Drosophila melanogaster: one gene and its partner. The protein of the gene in region 2 interacts with the protein of the main gene of each other region in a pairwise test. Each region holds a gene or a part of one and is shown on either strand. Other genes may lie near its edges.

Evidence for each region. Proteins that work in one complex are often made in the same cells at the same time.
Region 1: the proteins of CG17032 (region 2) and CG3500 interact in a two-hybrid assay, tested with the Drosophila melanogaster proteins (one large-scale study listed by BioGRID).

What each region holds. Positions count from the first base shown.
Region 1 is NT_033778.4:23,353,990-23,360,966, forward strand, and holds CG3500 (uncharacterized protein), read right to left. Parts: upstream 3,577-6,977; 5' UTR 3,300-3,576; coding exon 3,230-3,299; intron 3,169-3,229; coding exon 2,867-3,168; intron 2,682-2,866; coding exon 2,457-2,681; 3' UTR 2,383-2,456; downstream 1-2,382. Other genes in the region: Rpi (Ribose-5-phosphate isomerase), read left to right, coding at 1,365-2,090; CG9875 (uncharacterized protein), read left to right, coding at 3,766-3,845, 3,904-4,189, 4,251-4,358; CG34423 (uncharacterized protein), read left to right, coding at 4,729-4,778, 4,844-4,982, 5,043-5,111; Mthfs (methenyltetrahydrofolate synthetase), read left to right, coding at 5,491-5,607, 5,681-5,936, 6,001-6,233; vir (virilizer), read right to left, coding at 6,404-6,578, 6,643-6,977.
Region 2 is NT_037436.4:15,955,347-15,962,887, forward strand, and holds CG17032 (uncharacterized protein), read left to right. Parts: upstream 1-3,496; 5' UTR 3,497-3,919; coding exon 3,920-4,037; intron 4,038-4,341; coding exon 4,342-5,162; 3' UTR 5,163-5,263; downstream 5,264-7,541. Other genes in the region: GXIVsPLA2, read left to right, coding at 42-201, 265-707; elgi (early girl), read left to right, coding at 1,404-1,493, 1,577-1,719, 1,793-2,237, 2,293-2,458, 2,521-2,624; Brr2 U5 snRNP complex subunit, read right to left, coding at 5,648-6,133, 6,192-6,474, 6,530-6,704, 6,769-7,541.

The DNA.
Region 1 (6,977 bases), on a different chromosome or scaffold from region 2:
AGTATTAAATTTCTTCAAATATTCTCGGTACACGTGTTTGTATGTACATACATACATGTATGTATGTACGTACATATGTACATAAGTACCTACATATCTACATACCGAGCAAAAGTCACTTTTGAAACGTATGTATGTGTATGTATGTATGTTTTCTGTGCGTTTGTTGTTTAGATGGTCAAAGATTTGGTTAGAAAGACACATTTTCATGGCATTCGGTTAGTGGTATTACTTATTTAATTATTTACGAAAATCGTTCATAAAATCAATTCAAATGGCAGATAATACCAGATTTCCCAAAAGAAGCTTATTAATACTGAGTGCAGGATTTTCTGTCAGGGTTTTGCACATCAAATAACACAACTGTACATAGCTTCTATCGAACTTGTCAGGTTGAGGAATTTTTTTGATGTGACATAGGCGACAAATCCAAAGTTTATTCAAAAGGCAGTAATTATAAGCATTTGCAGCTGGCGAGGCATTTTGTCGGGTAAGGCGATCCTCCTTAAGAAGTGCTGATTCAGTCAAATCCACTATTTCAACCGACGCTGCAAACATTCTGACCATTAAGACCAGGGCGCGGGAACTTCACCGAGGAAATGCGCTTAGTACGACGCAATCCAGAAGCGCATGCAGAATGCACAGCAGGTTCTCCAGCTGGTCATCTCGGACAGCTGTACTGGCGCTGCGATCCCGCCATGAACAAGCATGTGGAGGGCCTATGACCTATGGCCATGTCGCTTGTCTGCTGCAGGTCTTTGTGGAGAACGAAATCAACCTGAGTCCCGACCAGAGCTGCATGAACTGCTGCGGAGGCTGCCATGACACCCGCTCGAGCGGTTGTTACAAGGCGGAGGAGGAGTTCTGTGGCCAGCAGGCCGCTTGCAAGGGAAGGCTCTACAAATGCAACACCATCGAGTCCGAAAGTTTATAATCTTTGTGGGGACCAAAAACAACAGCTAAGACCGCTGCTACCAAAGGTAATCCCTATATTAATATATAAACCATAACAAAATAAAATCCCTTTTATTTCCAGTGTGGATTTCGATCTAGAAACCATATGTGCTTGAGTTTAGATAACGTAAACAGAATAATTTTAACAGCTAACAGTTGGCGCGCAACTAACAGCTCTGTTAGCCCGGCCGGCGCAACAGCGAAAAATCCCTAGCGCTTCACCAAAAATCCCGCACCGGCGGCTTGATCTCTGTGACATTGAAGTTGCGATTGAAAGCAAGCCTGTTAACCACATGTTATCTGGGTTTTTGCGACGAGGCGTCCAAAGAGCACGGTTCACCTTCACCCAGCAACTCGGCGAAGATCTTTTGAGCGGCGCAGCGGCAACACTCCACACCCAGATACGCATGATGGATGACATTGCGCTGGACGCGGCCAAGAAGACGGCGGCCCGCACGGCGGTGGACCAGTGGGTGACTGAGGATACGAAGATTCTGGGGATTGGCAGCGGATCGACGGTGGTGTACGCCGTGCAGCGGATCGCGGAGCGCGTGTGGAAGGAGGGCGAGCTGACGGACCTCATCTGCGTGCCCTCGTCCTACCAGGCGCGCCATCTGATACTCGACTACAACCTTAACCTGGGCGATCTGGACAGGAATCCCAACATAGACGTGGCCATCGACGGGGCCGACGAGGTCGATCGCCATATGGTGCTGATCAAGGGCGGCGGCGGCTGCTTGCTGCAGGAGAAGGTGGTGGCCTCCTGCGCCAAGCACTTCATCGTGGTGGCCGACTACACAAAGAACTCCATCCGCCTGGGCGAGCAGTGGTGCCGCGGCGTGCCCATCGAGGTGGCGCCCATGGCGTACGTGCCCATCAAGCTGCACATCGAGGCGCTTTTCGGCGGCGAGGCCTCGTTGCGTATGGCCAAGGTGAAGGCGGGACCCATTGTCACGGACAATGGCAACTTCCTCCTGGACTGGAAGTTCATCGCCAACAGGGAGTACGACTGGGACGAGGTCAACCGCGCCATCACCCTCATCCCGGGCGTCCTGGAGACGGGCCTGTTCGTGAACATGGCCCACAAATGCTACTACGGCATGGCCAATGGCTCGGTCAAGGTCCAGAACAAGTAGTTCTTGGGCGGAGTTGGGGGAGCGCTTTTTGCATTTATGTTTCACCAAGTTGTTCCTTAAATTTTAGGTTTGCCATTTGTAATGGATTTAAATACATATTGAGTTCTTAGCCGAGAAAACGATGTGTCCTAACTTGAAAGTTTCAGCAAACGAATCTTATTCAGCTTCTTCATTCAAGTATAACATCGAAATACGTCCAAATCACCACAAAAGGGTATCCATTACACTGAAATCAGACCCACTAAATCTCAATTGGTTACAGTTCCACTACAATAAAGTGGATGTCGAATGTCAGTTCACATGCGCTTTGTATACTTTTGTCTCGATTGCGGCTACAAAAATAAATAAACATTAAACAAGCTAGATCTAGAAGGCCTTCTTGGTCCGCCCAGGGAGCAGGGCCTCTTTCAGATACTGGAACAGCGACAGCAGGCCCTGCTTCTTGTTACGCGAGAAGTAGTTGCTGACCACGTCCGGACTGCGCCGGCTCTGGTCGCTGACGGTGGTGGGCAGGACACTGTCATTCGCACTCAGCGAGACGAACAGGGCGAAGGGCACGATCCACATGCAGATGGTAAAGTAAGCCAGCACCTGAAAGTGTAAATTTCCTTTAGGCGTTTGCTGCGGCCTAATTCAAGTTGTATGTAAACAAACTGATGATGTGGATACACAATGCAATGCATATTGCATATAATGGCTGTATAAAAACGTACATACGTTTGTACGTAGCGAATGCGCTTTCCATGACTAATGATTTATGCAATACATATGCTCACCTGCGTGAAAGGCACATAGACAGTGACGAAATGCTGGAAGGCCAGGAAGTGATTGACCACCAGCATGGCCAGGGAGCCCAGCAGCGGCAGCGAGAGCAGGCGCACGAAGGGGAATCCACTCATGATGCCCAGGTGGAAGCCCTGCGCCACCAGTCCGCAGATGATAAGGCTCCACGGCAGGTCCTCGAACAGCAGCAGCAGGATGTAGACGAAGATCGTGAAGCTGATCAGAAATAGGATGCACTTCCTAGCCGCCGTCGTGTACTCCTCGGCCAGCTCCGCCAGATAATAGAGACCAGCCACTGGAAATACAAATTGCAGACGTTGCAATTGGACAAGTGCGGCTGCACGGCGACAGCTCACCAATCGACAGGGTGAGGAACACGATCTGTATGGCCAGCGAAACCCATCCCAGCAGGTACAGGACGGCCATCTTGCGTACTTCAGGCGGAATCGAAGGATATATACGGCTCAAATCGGCCGACAAAACAAAACAATCCGATTAGAGTGGCGTGTGGTGTGTGGCTCGAAATACCAAACATTTAATCAGCTTGTATAGAAACGGGCACACTAATGCGCAGAGCTGCCAGATATTCTCGTTCCAACGCTTTTTCAAATATTTTTTGTGGGAAACATGAGGAATTTAGGATTGAAATCCATATGCAAACTAACTAATGTGAGCAGCAGCATCCATGGACCATGACTTAAAAATATCTGCAAATGAAGTAAAAATACATTCATAAGTAAAACGAGTTCAATTCTTTATAAAATGTCGGATATCAAAACCGAATATCTTAGAAAGCAACCGTTTCAAATTTCATCTGAAGCAAACAGTCTAGATTCTGCTTTTGATATCCTGCAAATTGTCCAGCCTTTTCGAAAAATCCGTAACTTTTCGTATGTGTTCCATACTCGCACGTGCAAGGATGTTTTGTGCAGGAATAGTGCAGCGTAGACTGAGCATGGGTCTCAATCCAAAGTGAGTAGCGCTTGCACATAACTCCTTCCCTTAAACACCCCATCCGAAATCCCTGAAGACTCGGCCTGGCGCCCAGGAAGCTCTACTCCGAGGAGAAGAAGCCCCCGGGTGTTTTCCTTTGGGGCGGCGGACTTGGCAAGCTGCAGGGCGGTCTCAAGGAGGAGGAGTACTTCATTTCGTTGACCCAAACCCTCGTGGGCAAGATGCGGGACAAGAAGGAGCCCGGCGACTACCTGCCCAACTGGGACGAGTTCCAGAAGACTCTGGACCACGCCTCGCTGGGCAGCACCTCTTCCATGAACAAGCACAAGAACGTACTCGAGGAGGCCTTTTTCCTGAACAAGGTTGCTATAAGTCTCCAGCTCATTTTTCTTCTAATTTCCATTGCAATATCTTTGCTTTCAGACTGCAGACGACATCAAATTATTGCACGATCGTGCCCAAGAAGAGCTCAAATCTCGCCATACTGCCACAGAACTGGAACTCGAATCAGATCCCCAGAACACCAAATAGTTAGTTGTTTATGTTTAAATGCCATACACCGATTTCTTCAGGCGCATCATCATCATAATCACCCAACTTATCCACATGACACGGCTCAATAAAATTGTTAGTTGCAATCTTTGTAGAAAGTTTTTATGGAATTAAGGAAGTAATTAAAAATCCATTGGGTCATCCCAGTTGATTAAAACTAAAGTTCTTTAGCCCCTATTTAGTGAATGTGTTTCTATTTCCGTGCCCACTCAGTATTTTTAGCAGCGCTATTGTCCAATGTTCACCAGTTTGTTTTCGCAAGTCGTCGAAATCGAAATTTCAGCGGCTACTCATCCCTTATATATAGCTTAACTATACTATATAAACCGATAAACCGATAGAGGCAAACATGTTTACACTGCGACGATTCAGTCAGCGCTGGTATCCCAAGCAGATTCAGTAGGTTTCGCGATTTGGAGAGCAGTTGCGTAAGATTCTAGAACCGTTTTCGAATCGCTTTGCAGGCACTTGAAGATGTCGCAGATCGGAGAACTGGGCAGTGGAGCCGGCAACGGCGGCGGCGGCGGCGGATCCATCCGGGAGGCGGGCGGTTCATTTGGCAAAATGGAGGCTGCTCGCGAGGAGGAGTTCTTCTACAAGCAGGTGAGCTCTTTCTACTACACCAGACTGTACACGAGGTAAAGATTCCATGTTTCCCTGCAGCAAAAGGAGCAACTGAAGAACCTGAAGACCAAGACGGAGCCTAAGGCACCAGAGGCTCCCAAGAAGTGAGCCCAACCAGGAGCTTTGAACTCCACTAGCTTAACTATGGTTAGGCTGGATTGTCTGAATTGTATTTAATGGGAATGGTACTCCAAATATATTTTGTTTAATTTACAACTGGTTGTGTATTGGATAACTCCCATCCCTGATCAGCTGATCGCCCCGCGGCTCACCCAAACTGCAAGCCTAAACTTTCCCCAGACCGCTCCACTTCCATTTGTTTACGAACAGCGCTGCAAAGCGGAACAGCCGACAGATAAGCGTCAGTGTAAGCGCAGCTGATAACGGGCGGCGGAGTGGCGACCTAAAGACGCATGGACCGCGCAGGCAGATGGAAACAGTTCGCACCGGTTCGCTCGAGTGTGCAGTAGATGATCCAGCGGCAGGAATGGCGGCCACGATCCAGAACACCCTGAAGGTGGCGCTGCGAAAGCGCATGAAGGATGCACTGAAGGGCATCGACGCGGAGGCCATCGCCCGGCAGTCGCAGGCCGTCACGGCTAAGGTAACATTGGTTTGGCTGGGCCCCAAGGTTATCAAGTTAATTCCCAATCCCCCTAATCGGCTCGATCGCACAGGTGCTGCAAAGCGAGATCTTCCGGCAGGCGCAGCGGGTGAGCATTTACCTGAGCACAGCCTCGGAGCTGGACACCACGGCGCTGCTGTCGGAGATGTTCCGCCTGGAGAAGATGGTCTTTGTGCCCACCTACGAGGGCAGCAGGATGAAGATGGTGCGGCTGCGCGGCATGGAGGAGTACGAGAGCCTGCCTCTGACCAAGTGGAACATAAAGCAGCCGGACTTCAAGGAGGCACGCGAGGATGCCATGACCAACGGTGAGTGGCTAGGCATACATCAGAGCTCCTTCTAAACCCACACACACACACTCGATCACCACAGGGCACGGCATCGATCTCTTCATTGTGCCCGGTGTGGCCTTCACCCGCTGCGGAGCTCGGATGGGCCATGGCATGGGCTACTACGACAAGTTCCTCAAGCAGCACGCGGAGAAGTATCCGCACAAGAAGATCTCGCTGATGGCACTGTCGCTCAACGAGCAGATAGTCAGCAACGAGGAGTTGCCCATGGAGTCGCACGACGTCCGTTTGCACAGTGTAATTACGGAAAACTAACTTTTGGCTTACATACAAAGTGGGAAGTAAAGCGAACTAATACGAAAGCAACACACACTATTAAGTATTGGAATTCAGCTGCCCAGCGGGCATCTTAGGATCTAGTTCTGGTTCGTTTGCCGAGTTTACGGGAAGTGTCAGTGAGAAGCGGGTTGGGCTGCAATGTCCTCCTATCTCAGGTAGGATGGCCTGGAACGCAGGCCTCGTCCACGCGGCCGTCCACTGTAGTGGGGCGACGAATAGTGCGAGTCGCTGCTACTGAAGTGGGAGTCCGAGGCAGACCGATACGATCCGGGGGACTCTGCCCAGCTGGAGGGCGAACCAATGCGCATCATCTTCTTTTGCCTGTTAAAAGAGTAAAAAGAGCCCATTAGCGTTATCCTGCTAAGTGGTAATCGTGACACTTTACCTAAAGGCAGCTGCTGCCGAGATTCGAGATCCTCGGTTGCGACCCACCCGGGAGCCTCTCAGCATTGAGGGTATCTTGTTGTAGCCGGTGGGTCCTGTGGGCTGGGCGCCACAAGTTTCCAAGGCCAGGAAGTCGTCCACGTGCAGCGATGGCGGTCGCGAGGTGTTGGGCGGCCGGGAGCGGAACAAATCGCCCCTGGAAGGTGGTGGCCGAGCAAAACCACGACCCCTTACCGACGACACAAACATCTTCTTTTCGGGTCGACCAGTCGCGGGCTCAACTTCCACACGGCGCGTGCGGAAACAAGGCGCCGTGGGCGTCATCTCCCGATTGGA
Region 2 (7,541 bases):
CTAGTATCTGTTACTCCTGTATCTTCTCTCCCCGGATTTAGCTAAGGGATGCCATTATAGCCGCGGAGGCGATCTTTGGTGACGTGTTCAAGAACCTGATAGTGCTGGTGCGCAAATTTCGCACGGTCCACGAGGTTTTCGATGCGGCCGTGGACGAGAACTGCATATACCAGTGCCCCGCACCGGATATCGGAGGACCAGGTGTGGTGACGCACTGCGCATTATGTAAATTCCCCAGCATCCATATGTGTGTTTATCTTACAGCGCCCAGAGCGGTTCAGAATAAGTTCTATACCCCCACCGCAGATGGATGTGGTTCCTTGGGCCTGAGGATCAGCACAGACTATCTGCCGGCCAAGGAGATGGAGACATGTTGCAATGACCACGATATCTGCTACGACACCTGCAATAGCGATAAGGAGCTGTGCGACCTGGACTTCAAGAGGTGCTTGTACAAGTACTGCGACAGCTACGAGAAGTCCATAGCCAGCGATCTGATGATGAAGGGCTGCAAGGCGGCTGCCAAGATGCTATTCACCGGCACATTGACCCTGGGATGCCGCTCCTATCTGGACTCCCAGCAGAGATCCTGCTATTGCGCCCCGCCGAAGAGCTCCTCCTACAATGGCAATAGGCAGGGTAATAGCAATAGTAGGGAGAAGCAGCAGCGCCAGAAATATGGCTGGAAGGATCGCAACGAGATATAGTACAGGATCACTGGCTACGAGGGTGCGGGGACCTGGGGGTATCGGATTAAGCGTTAAATGTTTTATGTGTTGTGTTAGTCTATGAATTGGGTAGCCATGTCCATTGGACTCCCTTTTTGACGAATTTCATTATTGTATACCAAATAGTGGCATGCCAACGGTCCAGACTGTTAAATACATTGATATTTTTACCTATTATAAAGATGCTATATTTTTAAATCAACTGTGCGCTGATTAATCACCGGTGGCTTATGCTGACGTGGTCCTTTGGGCAGGATATGTATATTATTTATTAATCATATGATCGACAAGTGTGTAAACATATTTTAACCAGGACGATGACGTATTTAATTTGTTAAGCTGCCTGGCCAAAGCTAATTTAATAGTACAAATAAATGAATGGAGATCAAACAAGAATTCTATTATATCAAAAATTTTGACTTTAAGTCAAACTTAAGTTTAAAACTAAGGTGGAACAGAAAATATCTCAATATTTTCAAGCTAAACAGTTATTTTAAGAAGCCATTTCTCGCGGATTACAGCTGAAGTGCCATCCTAGCTTTCCAACACTACTCAGTCACACTACACAACACTGCACTGACTGAACCGAAAAAAAAACACACAGATTTTGCAATCCGCAGAAAAGAATTATTAATAGTATTTTTATGCGGATGGCCAGCGTGCTGAGGACCTAAGATGGGCTACGATGTGAATCGCTTTCAGGGGGAGGTGGACGAGGAGCTCACCTGTCCCATCTGCTCCGGAGTGCTTGAGGATCCGCTGCAGGTTTGTTTTGTTTGCAAAGAACGCACACCGCGAATCATACATATGCTTTAAATACAAACAATCATACATATCTACCGATTCAGGCCGTGATGTGCGAGCACGCCTTCTGCCGCGGATGCATTAACGAGTGGCTAACCCGCCAGCCCACTTGTCCGGTGGATCGAAATTCCCTGACTACTGCCAACTTGCGGGCAGTGCCTCGCATATTGCGCAACCTACTGTCCAGGTGAGAAAAACCCAACGCCTTCTACTCTGTGAACCTTGTGGACTCTAACTAATCTTTGACCCTTGCCAACCAGACTGTCAATCACCTGTGACAATGCGCCTTATGGCTGCACGGCTGTTCTCAAGCTAGACGCCTACAATTCCCATTTGGACGAATGCATTCACAATCCGAAGCGACCATTTCCCTGCGAGAAGGGATGCGGCTTTGACATACCCAAGGATGAGCTAAAGGACCACAACTGCGTGCGGGAGCTGCGCACTTTAATTGTCAAGCAGACGGAAAAAATGGGTGAGCTCAAATCGGAGCTCACCGACCAGCAGCTGACTATCAACGAACTGAAGCGCGAGCTGCAGCTATTCAAGGACTTTATGCGTGCCATGCGCGTCTCCAATCCTGCGATGCGGGCCATAGCCGACCAGATGGAGCGCGACGAGGTGATCCGCTGGAGCAGCACACTGCCCCGGGCCAGGGTTACGCGCTGGGGGGGAATGATCTCTACGCCCGACGATGCACTGCAGGTGAAGCCCAAATTCTAAATTTTTTTAAAACGTTAACTCACTTTTCATTTGATAGCTCATGATCAAGCGCGCTTTGTCCGAGTCGGGCTGTCCGCCACACATCCTGGATAGTCTTATGGAGTTCTGCCACGAGCGACGTTGGCCCCGTGGGCTCAGTTCGCTAGAGACACGTCAAACCAATCGTAGGATCTACGACAACTATGTGTGTCGACGCATTCCAGGTAACAATTTTAAACATAAATATTAACAACAAGGCTTTATCTTTAAACTTACTCTTCCGCAGGCAAGCAAGCTGTGCTCGTTTTGAGCTGCGACAACCTCCACATGACTGAGGACGTCATGATCGATCCAGGTTTGGTCATGATCTTCGCCCATGGCATCGAGTAGGCCCTCAGCCGCTGATTAACCACTTATCCTAGGTTAAATGCTAACTATATCGAACAGTGCTCAGTTTTGTTGATTCCTTAACGTAAGAGTAAGCATTAAAAACAATATTGTAAGGAAAAACTCGCAAAACAAACCATTCAAGCGCCTCATGACGACTTTCAAGTTGTACAAAAAATATATATTACTTTCGGTTCATTGTGTTTTATCCATTTAGTTAGTACGCAAATTCGTATACATCATCAAGTCGTTCGCATATACCCAATATTACATGTTTGATTAAGCGATCTCAACAAATGTCCCTTTGTTATCGTTCACTTCATTCTCATTTTGATGGAAGGAAGCTGTGAATGTCCTAATTCGCGTTTAAATTCGTATTGCACAACTTACTTAAATTTCTGAAATATTTGTCAATACTTTTAGATTAAATGTGGAAAGAGTAATAAACAGTTTATTTAACTAATGTATTCATGGAAGAATTTATTACTATAATAAACCATTTGCTTTTATAATTGATTTCTTTCAATTACGAATTTAAATTGTAATAGTATGTTACAACAAAATTCCATTTATTCATTTATTTAAGCACTCCCATGAATTATTTTTCTGAAAGATTGTCTAGCCTTTTAGATTAGAAATAGAAATAAAAGTGATTATTCCAACTAAACCGATAATTCTAGCCTCTTATCAGCTGAAAGGGCAGACAAGCGTCTGCCTTTGGAAATCCTACACAAATGTTCACTGGGATGCCCCCCACTTGCAAGCACCAACTCATTCGGGGAGATCTGTCCGCCTCCACTCTGTGGACCCGTAAAAGTTCTGGACAACATCTGTTTCCCGAAATGGAAATCGAAAAGCAACAAAAACCAAGCAGCAAGCAACCAAGCAACAAAATAAACAAAAGAAAACCAAACTAGTTCCTCCACGAGCTTTGGCCGCCAACCGGTTTCGGCTTTTGTACACCCGTTTTGTTTTTTTCCTACATAATACAACATTATACAAAGTTTGCATCGGTTACATGTGCCAAAAATCGTTGGATTATACAAGCCAGTTTTGGTTTTCAATTTTTTTCTTCGTATTTGCCGAACATCTTGAATATTGATAGAAGCAATTAGCGCCATCCAGACCAAAGGGGCAGCCCCCTACGGCGATTGAAAGTGAGAGTTGATCGGCCGATTGGCGGCGGAGCGGACAGGCTGAAATATATACATCCAACAGTTGATCGCGAAGCGGCGCAGCCAACGGACGTGTCCAGCTGCGATCTCCAGAAGGCAACCAATCTAATCGAAGAACACGAAATGAATGTATCAATTCCGGTGCTATTTGTGGCCCTCATCTGTCTGGCAGCTGCGTCGGCGTTTCCTCAACTGAGGCAGCGCAACGAGAAGCAGGTTCAAACCGGCGATGATGATTTGCGTAAGTAAAATTCTTAACGCTCGAAAATCTTACAATTCTTAGATTGTAAAACTTCCTAAATACATTTGGAAAATACTTTTCAAATCTGAAATTCTGTAAATATATATAAATACATATCTATCTATAAATTTTTGTGTATACATATGTACACATTCTGTAGTGCGAACAAAGCGTAAAATATTTAGTAAAATAATAGATTGCTCCGAATTTTTTAATAATAAGCTTGCCGATTATTCAGCTTCTATTAATTAAATTAAAATAAATATAAAATATTTTATAAAGTATATACCATTGCATTTTACAGCTTCCAAGGGCGCCACTATCGAGGAAGTAGTGGTGGAATCAGCCTTGTACATCAAACCGAAGTCTAATCCGCAGGTGCGTCGCGTCCGTTCGGTCCTGGATCAAATATCCGGAATCCAGGCCGCTCACAAGAGGGTGAAGCGTCAGTTTGGGCGACAATTTGGTGGTCAGTATGCTGGAAATCCCGGCTTCGGTGGCGGATTCGGTGGAGAGCCTGGTTTTGGAGGTGGATTCGGCGGTAATCAAGGATTTGGAGGCAACCAGGGATTCGGAGGTAATCAGGGTTTCGGCGGTAATCAGGAATTCGGCGGTAACCCAGGATTCGGAGGAAATCCCGGATTCGGCGGTAATCAAGGTGGAAAAGTTCAGGCAGGTACATCGGCCGGCGCTGGGGGAACCAAAGCGGGTGTTGATGTTGGTGCCGGACCAGATGGCGGCAATGCCAATGCCAACGTCGAGTTAAATCCGCTGGGACCACTCGGACCCAGTGGTTACAACCAGGAGCAGGCCGCATCCAACGGAGCTGCCCACAGCAACTACAACAATGGACTCAACTCAGGATCCTCGGCCGCCAGTGGGCAGGCTCAGGGCTTCCAGTCGCAGAGTGCCAATGGATCATTCGGTGCCTCCTCCGCAAGCACGGCCACTCAGTCCCAGAACACCAGCCCCTTTGGATCCAATAATGCGGCAGGTGCTTCGCTGAGTCAGGTTTACCATCTTCCCAATGGACAGACAATAAACTTTAGCTCCACGAACAGCTTCGCTAATGGAGGAGCCAATCGTGGCAGTAGCCATGGATCGGCAGTTTCTGTCAGCCGCTAAAAGCCAAGTTCACCATACAGGGAAAATACCTCCAAGTTAATCTATTTGTCAGCAATCCTATGTGCAAATATCTAAAAAATCCAAATAAATATTTATGATTGAATTGAATTTGAATGAATAATTTGAATGATTTTTTTAAAATCTAAACGGTTGCATTTTGATGATCCAGATTACAAATTACAACAAACTTGAATTGTTCCATACGAAATTTAAAAGCTTAAGACAATATAAGAATTGGCACTGTTGACTACAAAATATTTAGATTCTTGGTATCAACCAGCGAAAGAAAGTTGAAAGGTTTTTTTTATTTTGTTTTTTTTTTTTTTTGTACTACTTTATATAATTATCCTCAGTGTATCCTTGTACAATTTGGTTTCTACTAAAGTAGTACACGAATTTATTATTGCTACAATTAATGCGCGTAAATTGTAAAATGATTGATTTTCATTTGTGCAAACATGCCCAACTGATGATCCTAAAGAAAACTAATCTGACTCGCTTTCGCTTTCCGACTGGAAGTCACCCACTTCGATGGAAAACTTGTACTCCTGATCACAACCCAAATAGGAATCGCTCATGTAGTACAGAGTGTAGTCGTGTTTGCCCGGACTAGGTGCCACAAAGTCCAGCTTGACCTTTGCCTTTTGCTGCAGCGTGAGCCGTTTGATGGAGAGCAGGGAGTTGGTCTTGGGATCACCTATGACGACCCACCATCCTTCTTCGCGCTTCTGCGGGAAGAATGGAGCAATGACTGGGCCAGTGACCTCATCCTCACGTTCCAGTTGAACCACTACATTAACGGTTGATCCTGAGTTGATGCGATCCTTGTCCACCACCTCATAGTTCAGCTCAATGTTGGGGTAACGGTTGCAGAATCGAGCAACATCGGCCATTTGTAAATCGGAGAGCTGCAGCAGGCGAGTGCGATCCTCGTCCTCCAATTCCATGATATCGAAAACGGTTTCGATTTTCTGAAATATACGACGAAACATGAGATAATCCTAGAGATTCACTTGTTGTTACTCTCACCTTCTCTGTGCACCGCTTGACAATCTCGGGACTAAAGTGCGGCAACTGTTTCAAGTACGAGTCCTTGCTCCACATGGCCTGCGTGACCATCTGAGCCAGCTCCATGGCAGCCACAGCCGGCGACAGCCAGCCATTTGAACTCAGCACATCTACGCAGGCCTGAATGAGGCGGATGGCCTTGCTCAGTATCTGCTCCGTATCGCCTTGCAGTTCAGGTCCCAGTTGCAATCGCGAAAGATGAGCCTGAAGCAGCAAATTGGTCTTGATGTGCGGATCATTGAATCTAAAAATAACATTGGTAAAATTCTTTTTAAGATCTAAATGTATGGGTTGCTTACTTTGGAGCCGTTTCATTGGGTCCTGTGAGTTTGTTGGGCAGTCGCTGAGACAGCGTGCGCAGAACCTGCTCCTCATGATGCCTGACCACAACATCCTCGTACTCAGCTGCCGATGAAATAATTTCCAGCAGGCCCCGCACTTTTGTTTTGCTGTTGAGGGACAAACTGAAGAGCTCTGGGAAAAAATGATAGGAAAATGAAGATGACAATTGCCTAAACTTAAATCTAATGCTTCATACCGATAGTTGTGTAGTTGATGTAATAGTAGGCAGCAATCATGCCCAGATTGAGTGGCAGCGTGTCCATATCATCCTCCACGCTAATACACTTGGACTGTTCTAGATCGCTCAGCGTATTCTCCACCAACTCCGAAAGATGGTCGGAGAGATGGCGATGCGTGACACCCTGCAGATTGTAGTAGTTGGGATTTTGGGTCAATCGTCTGTAGAGGAACGTCCAGGTGAGATAATCAACGGCATCCTGTTTGTTCTCAATTGTCTTGGTGACCACCTCGGCGTTAAAGTGATCATGCATTCTATGATCCAAATGACTTTCGATGGGCAGCGGCTCGTTGATGAATTTCTTAAAGAAGTCCTTCTTGCTGCTCTGGCACATCAGCACGCATTTGGCATCCGCATCCTCGTTCGGCCGATTGGCTCGACCAATCATTTGCAGCACGTCTGTAATGGGATAGTCCTCATACGAATGATTCTTGCCATTGTAAAATTGTGTGTCCATGATGATCACCAAGTGAGCGGAGATGCTCATGCCCCAGCAAAGGTCTCTGGAGATAACAGCTACTTGCACGGCGCCAGAGTCAAACAGCTGCTCCACCAGGCGATGATCTGAGGCGGATAGGCCCTCATGGAGATAGGCCACTCCTTGCGCTAGGGTCTCCTTCAAAGTTTTATCCGTCATTCGTTCGAGGAACGGCTTGATGTCCTCCTCCTCAGCATGGAAAAAACGGTTGGGTTGCAAATCCGATGCTGCGTAGGTCAAAACATCAATTGCA